2 linked regions of the Macaca mulatta genome follow. The protein of the gene in region 1 interacts with the protein of each later gene in a biochemical or structural test. Links are inferred from orthologs where the notes say so. Each region holds a gene or a part of one and is shown on either strand. Other genes may lie near its edges. The genes, in order: OXSR1 and WNK4.

The links.
Region 2: the proteins of OXSR1 (region 1) and WNK4 are reported together in a solved structure, tested with the Homo sapiens proteins (2 studies listed by BioGRID and IntAct, with this or other methods). The link is inferred for Macaca mulatta from reciprocal best matches to the Homo sapiens genes OXSR1 and WNK4.

The regions. Positions count from the first base shown.
Region 1 is NC_133407.1:100,508,466-100,512,261, forward strand, and holds part of OXSR1 (serine/threonine-protein kinase OSR1), read left to right. Parts: intron 1-1,018; coding exon 1,019-1,071; intron 1,072-2,595; coding exon 2,596-2,664; intron 2,665-3,503; coding exon 3,504-3,568; intron 3,569-3,796. UniProt on the Homo sapiens protein: Effector serine/threonine-protein kinase component of the WNK-SPAK/OSR1 kinase cascade, which is involved in various processes, such as ion transport, response to hypertonic stress and blood pressure.
Region 2 is NC_133421.1:67,135,246-67,139,064, forward strand, and holds part of WNK4 (serine/threonine-protein kinase WNK4), read left to right. Parts: intron 1-683; coding exon 684-904; intron 905-1,169; coding exon 1,170-1,327; intron 1,328-1,826; coding exon 1,827-1,915; intron 1,916-1,996; coding exon 1,997-2,213; intron 2,214-3,819. UniProt on the Homo sapiens protein: Serine/threonine-protein kinase component of the WNK4-SPAK/OSR1 kinase cascade, which acts as a key regulator of ion transport in the distal nephron and blood pressure.

The sequences.
Region 1 (3,796 bases):
GGTTGGAAGTTGATTTGAACTATGTACTTACACAGCTAAAAGCAAATTTCAGGTAGTGTATACATGCAGAAGTATAAGTTTGTATGTACCTGTGTAGAGAGAACGCAATGCAAGGGAAAATCATTTGGGGCAGGTTATATTTGAGATGGGTAGTTCTATTTTAAGCACAATTTCAGTAACATCCTCAAGTATATTATTCTTCATATAGAAGTAAACCCTCTCCATTGTTTATATAAAATAGATTTGAGTCCTAAGTGAGCAGGAATATCTGCCCTTAGATATAATGCTCTCATTTCTCTGTCTTTAAACTTTATAACCTCCAGGGATCCTGCTTTATCTCAGTACGTGGTGTGGTCATCACTGTAATTATACCTCACCAGTCATGTTTGAATTTCTGGAGTCATGTATTAACTCTGCTATCAGTATGGACCCAGTTCCTTTCCCTATCCTCTCTGCCTACCCAAATCCTGCTTATCTGTTAAGTCCTATATAAAAACTACTTCTAAAATTTTTCCTTATTATCCCCATCTCTCATATATTGTTTGAATTCCTATGGAATTTGAGGGAGCATCATGTATTTCATTTTATGAGTCTGCCAAGACTGATCACCAGTGGTAGGCAATGAATTGTGGGCATGTAGGAATGCGGATAAGGATGAAAAAGGCATCCTGTATAATTTTAATCACACCTCCCTGTGCTCATACAATTTTCCTCTTAGTTTTATATGTTCTTAGTGGGAATAAGGATGGGAGTGGGCATATAAGAATCTACTCAAAGGCATGAAATTTTTATATTGATCAGTAAGGGACATAGATTCAAAGGGTTGTAGGTCAACTAGATGGTCATTCTAAATTGGTTTTGCTCTGAGTTCTGCAGTGTGAACATATCTGAATACATCGTATGATCTATGGGAACAAAACAGTCTTTCTTGAGGCACAGGTTTCTTAATACATGTTGGCAGAATCTCTTTGCATAAATTTAGAAATTCTTATTTTATGCCTTCTGCTTTCTTTCATAGGAATTCCAAAAAAGAACTAAATGATATTCGATTTGAATTTACTCCTGGGAGAGGTGAGGCATCAAACGGATTGAAAACAAAATAGCTTCTAATTTGTGATTCAGTGAAATGTGTTGTGAAGTTTCTGTCCTTTGTGAAGTTTTGCTTTTAAAGGATAATAAAAAATTTTCCCGGTTTTGGGGAGCATATAAGTGAGATAAAAATGCAGTTCGTAGACTACTAAACACATTTAGAAAACCTTGTATAATAACACAAACAGTAATAAATATATAATAGCTCTTTACAGCTTAGTATAGGCCAGGCATTGTCTTAAGCGTTATCTTATTAAATTCTCACAGCAGCCTACTAAGGAAAAATTATTATCCCCATATTATCGATGATGAAATCAAGACTTAGAGGCAAAGTAACTTGTTCAAGGTCACACAGCTGGAAAGAGGTAGAGCTGGAATTCAAACCAGATCTGTCAGAATCCAGAGTTCTTGCTTTATACATGGTTGTCCTCCATGATGGTAAAGAAACAAGGTCTGCAGTCTCCTTTCTCCTCAGACGGAAGCTGAGGCTTGTCATGTACTGTTTCTGGCTGTCGAACTTCACCTTGAACAAGGCATGTTTTGTTTCTTGCCTTTATTACTCAGGATTCTAATTTGGGGAGTAGCCAGCAAGTATCTGTTCTGTGTATCATGCTTATTCTTCTTGCCGTCTCACTATTATCAGCAACTAACCACTAAAGAGAAAAGATGCGGGTGTACAGAGGTGTTACCAGTTTTACTTTTTAAAAACCAGGCAACATCACATTTTCAGGAATTAATTCAAATTGCTGGTTGCCTGTGTGAATGTGTGGACACTCTCCGCAGCAGTCCTCCTGTTCCCTCTGAGGTGCTCATTTTCAAGCCCTTGGGAACCAGTACTACTGAGTCGGTTGAAGATGAGGTTAATTGGGGATACTCTATCCTCATCTTTTTACTTTCTAGTTATACCCATTGCTCAGATTGTACCACCTGGGATAACTAGATAAGAAGAAAAGCCCACCAGAATAAAAAAGTAAATGAATTTAGTAAAAAACTTGGAGTATGATTCCCAAAGAGAAGAGAAAAATTTTTTGAGACAAAAATGGTTGCCTCAGTTTTTGAGAATAAATCATTCTGGTTTTTTAGCCCTAGAGATGCTCAGTATTCAACATTATGTCTCAGAGCTCTGAGAGCTCAGTCCAGGATTGTACTTGAAAATAGGAATTTCCTCTGCAACATCAGTGTCAGGTGCTTTTCTGACTGGGCCGGAACCCATCTACATTACACCATTTAGAAAGTTATCTTTACATTGAGCTGTATAAACCAGATATTTGCCACCTGGTTTATACAGATTCTGCCCTCTAGCTAGATCTGTGAGAATTCCTCACTTCAGATAATCCCAGTGGTAGGAACAGTCTTTGGGAGGAAGACCCTGCCTGCCTTCTTGGTTCTGTGGATTTAGCAGCCAACTTGGGCCTAGCATGGCACACTGACACCCACACGAGCTGTGAGCATTAACAGTGTCAAGCATGCACAAAAAACAGAGCACCGTCTTCTTTGTCCTTGCAGATACAGCGGAGGGTGTCTCTCAGGAACTCATTTCTGCTGGCCTGGTCGACGGAAGGGATTTAGTAATAGGTAACTCCATTGCGTTCTGCCCATGTGCTCCTGTGTCTCTGTATACTTAGTACATAGAAAAGCAGGTTTTTAATTTCACTGAGTAGGTCTGATGGTTCTTGGCTTTGCTGAAATTATAGGTAATGGGATAGTTCCTTACACACACACAAAATTTCACCTCTGAGTTTGTTTGTGACCTCCAATGATAGTAAGTGAAAGCACACCCAAGGTCTTTAGGAGACTAATAGAAATTATGGCAAAAGTAACAAGTTAAAGTAAGCTTGGTCATATCTGATCTGTTTTGGATACCTAATTTTTGTGGCCCAGGTTGAACAAAAGTCATTAGATATTTAGTCCTAGAAAAGCAGGAAGGAAGAGAGAAGGCCCAATGAGGCCACAGGTCCTTGTTACTGAAGGAAAAGACCATGTCCTTAGGCACAGTTTTCCATGAAAGACCAGATAGTAAATAGTTTAGGCCTTGCGGGCCATGTACAGTGTCTGTCGCTTTTAAACCACTCTTAGCTTGCCGGAGAACAAAAACAGACCACAGGCTGGTTTGTTGACTTCTGGCCTTGGGGTTTCTGATCCGTAAATCAGGAAATCATACCTCTTTTACCTGCATGTCTTTCCTACCTTAATACAACATTTTAAAGAAAGTTAATTTGACAGTGGCTCAAGGTGTACTACTTAGAAATCAGTTTAAAAGACACTTTCATTTGGGGAGTGATTATTTGATCTGTCTGCTTCCATTTTGATTGTACAGAGCATATTCTTAACTACCATTTAAGCTTTTAAAATACGGTTGAAAGTGGATTTATGTAACTTCTCATTCATTACCTTCTCTGTTTGTATGATTACAGTGGCAGCTAATTTGCAGAAAATTGTGGAAGAACCTCAGTCAAATCGATCTGTCACTTTCAAACTGGTACTCATCTCTTCTTCCTTATGAAAACGTCTTGCCTTTTACACACTGGCAGCTTCTCCAGACCAGCTTCTATGTGCCCTGAGTGATGAGGATATTAAAATGTGGTGGATTGTGTTCATTTAGCCTCCCCAGTGCCCTGGGCTGATGTTTCCCTTTGAGTGGCCACTCTTCCTCTGTCCATGCCAGGAAACCTCTGACCCCAGCCCCTTGGCTATTCATAAGAGAAAC
Region 2 (3,819 bases), on another chromosome or scaffold:
TCTGGAGCCCTGCAGCAGCCTCCTGAAGGGCCTTCCCAAACTCTGCCACCCTCTAAGCGATCCTATCTTCCTGCAGCCTGGAGGATCTTTCCCAGTCGAAAATCTGAACTGTCACTCCCCTCCTTAAAACCCCTTCAAAGTTTCCCATGGCCTTGGAATAAAGCCCACACAGGCTCACCTGTTCACAGACGCCTTGGGATACAGCCTCATTTTTAGCCTAAGTTCCAATCACACCAAATTCCTGGCACCTCGTCCCACCCTGCCTTGTCACTGGCTTTTTCCGTGCCTTTGAGCATAGTGTCCTGTCTGCCTGGGAAGTCTCCATCCCTTCCCCCTTTCACCTTTGAGCTCCTACTCATCATTCAAGATGCAACACAAAAGTATTTCCTCTCCGAAGCCCTCCCTCATGCTTGGGGCAGTTGGTCATCCCTTCCTGCGCTTCCACAGCACCTTGGCTGCGGCCCTATCAATTTACTTCCCAACCCGTTTGGTAACATCATGTCTATCCACCACACCCCCTGACTCAGTTTCTCCCTGTGGCCAGGCAGACATAGACTAGGAGAATGCTGGCAGAAGATGCGGAGGCGGCAGCAGGGTGCTGCAGGGGGGAACTTCCCAGTGAGGGGACTCCTCCCCATTGGCCGTGTCCCCCACCAGGACCCTTGCTATGTGCCCTCCCCCAGGTACCTGAGGCGGTTCCGGGAGATGAAGCCGCGAGTCCTTCAGCGCTGGAGCCGCCAAATCCTGCGGGGACTTCATTTCCTACACTCCCGGGTTCCTCCCATCCTGCACCGGGATCTCAAGTGCGACAATGTCTTTATCACGGGCCCTACTGGCTCCGTCAAAATCGGGGACCTGGGCCTGGCCACGCTCAAGCGCGCCTCCTTTGCCAAGAGTGTCATCGGTGCGTCTCTCCAGGAGGGTCCATGCCATTCCTTCCTCCCCCACCTCAGAAGAGAACCTAGGTACTCCCTCCCCTCAGCAAGGGCCTTCAAGGTCCACGAAACTACCAGATGACAGGGGAGCTGAGGAGACCTATGGCATCCCTCCTCAACCCCACTGTGGGCCGGGGTCACTTGCACTCGCAGGGTTGCCTGGGGCTACCTAGCCCAATGGGAAGGACAAGGCCAGAGTGCCCAGCAACCTGATCCTTGCTGTTGACCCTACAGGGACCCCGGAATTCATGGCCCCCGAGATGTACGAGGAAAAGTACGATGAGGCCGTGGACGTGTACGCGTTCGGCATGTGCATGCTGGAGATGGCCACCTCTGAGTACCCGTACTCCGAGTGCCAGAATGCCGCGCAAATCTACCGCAAGGTCACTTCGGTGAGAGGGATGGGACTGGCGGGAAAGGCAATTCCAGGGCCACTTCCCATTTTCCTGCCCCGGCCAGCCCGCAGTCAGTGCCCTTTGCCTGCACGAAAACAGGCTAGACAGAGTCGCCTTGGGGAACACAGGATATTGAATGCACATGCACCCCCTCCAGTACACGCTATTTAGAATAATATGTGTGGTGCTCCCAAGAGTTCACAAATGATTTCGCATCCCATCTCTCATCCAATCCTTCCAGCTGCCCTGTGAGGTGAGCGGGGCAAATGTTCCACCCTGCGATTTACAGATGAACAAACAGCGGGAGACTTGTTCAAGGTCACACTGTAAATACTTGGCGGGGAGTGAGATTTGAAATCACATCTTCCAGTGGCAGTCAGGCTTTTGCAACTGCACGCGTAGCTGCCTAAGGCGGGAGTGGAGTAAGGGGTGGGGGGTGTCAAGCCGAGAGCTGGGGATCAAAGGACCGGAGGTGTCATGCAACCCCTTCCCCCAGGGCAGAAAGCCGAACAGCTTCTACAAGGTGAAGATACCCGAGGTGAAGGAGATCATTGAAGGCTGCATCCGCACGGATAAGAACGAGAGGTGGGGGTGAAAGGGCAGAGCATGGGTAGAGTAGGGCCGCGGGCCGCGGCGGGCTAGGCTAACCCCTCGCGTCACCCTCAGGTTCACCATCCAGGACCTCCTGGCCCACGCCTTCTTCCGCGAGGAGCGCGGTGTGCATGTGGAACTAGCGGAGGAGGACGACGGCGAGAAGCCGGGCCTCAAGCTCTGGTTGCGCATGGAGGACGCGCGGCGTGGGGGGCGCCCACGGGACAACCAGGCTATCGAGTTCCTGTTCCAACTGGGCCGGGACGCGGCCGAGGAGGTGGCACAGGAGATGGTGAGCGGAGGACAGACTGTGCTGCCAGTGGACGTGTAAAGGGCATTGACCCGAGGAGATAGTGCAACAGGGATGGGGCGCAGGAGGCGTGGCAGCGATGGGGGCGGGGCACCTTACTCCTCTCAGAATCTCCTGCAGCGTCTCCCTACCTCTCCAGCCCTAACTTACCTGCACCCACACCCAGTTTTCCTTTACAGAGGGAGCCCTGGGTCCTCCAGCATCCCTGCTTTACCTCCAGCTGATCTGTTCTTCCTGGAATGCCCTTCTTGCCAATTTATCTTTTCCTTCTTTCCTGCCTCCCCCTTGTTCTTTTTCTTTTTCTTCCAATATGATCAGAACCATCGATTTCGGGAAGCCATCCCCTCTGGAGTCAAACTTAAATGCTTCTTTCCACTTCAGCAAGTTCTCTGTTACATCACTCCCCACTATCGGTCCTGTCTTAGACCTGAATAAGTTCCTATCTTTCTTCTCCACTAGACTATAAACTCCCTGAGGGCAGAGACTGTGTTTATTGATTCTTCTATCCCTGGCAGTGCTTGGCACATAGTAAGAGCTCATTAATAGCCCACATCTGTACATGGCTTAAAGCACTTTCACATGCATTTGATCTTTGCTACCCATCCTGCATAGGGGGCAGTTTTATCTCAACTTGTTGATAAGGAAATGGAAATTTAGAGAGGTTGAATACCTTGTCCACTGCCCCAAGTAGGTAAGTGGAAGAGCTGGATTGAAACTGAGGTGGTTCAGATTTTAAATCAGGTTACCCTTCCCCACCTCCTTTACTCACTCAGCAAAGCTTGTGGCTAAAAGGAAAGAGGAGGTGATGAATGGAAGCTGGTAGAAGGGGAGAGGCATAAGATGCAAGGGCAGACGCCTGGGGACTGGCTTAGGAAGTCCTGAAGGGAGTATGAGATTCTTTTTGGGGAATAATGGAGTCTCACTCTGTCATCCAGGCTGGAGTGCAGTGGCACTATCTCAGCTCATTGCAACCTTCGCCTCCTGGGTTCAAGCAGTTCTCCTGCCTTAGCCTCCCCAATAGCGGGGATTACAGGCACGAGCCACAATGCCCAGCTAATTTTTGTATTTTTTAGTAGAGACGGGGTTTCACCATGTTGGCCAGGCTGGTCTCGAACTCCTGACCTCAAGTGATCCACCTGTCTTGGCCTCCCAAATTGCTGGGATTACAGGTGTGAACCACCGTGCCCGGCTGAGTATGGGATTCTTAATACAGACATGACTGTTGCAAGGGTGGAGACCACCTACGGTGGGACAAGAACCTGAGAATGTGTTAGAAATTTAGAGCAGGTCTCCATATCATGGAGATCCAATCTTGATCCATTGCTGACAAGGGATTCTTGGCCTTGGTACTGTTGGCATCTTTGTTTTAGGGACTGCCCTGTACATTGTAGGATATTGAGAAGAACCCCTGGCTTCTACTCACTAGATTCAATAGCATCTACCTTTGAGTTGTGGCAACTAAAAATGTCTCTAGATATTGCCAAACATCTCTTCTTCCCATTGGAAACCACTGACTTACTGTATAACTATGAACTGGTCAATTCATTAATCTCTAAAATGGAATGGTAAGGTTTATCCCACAAGGTTG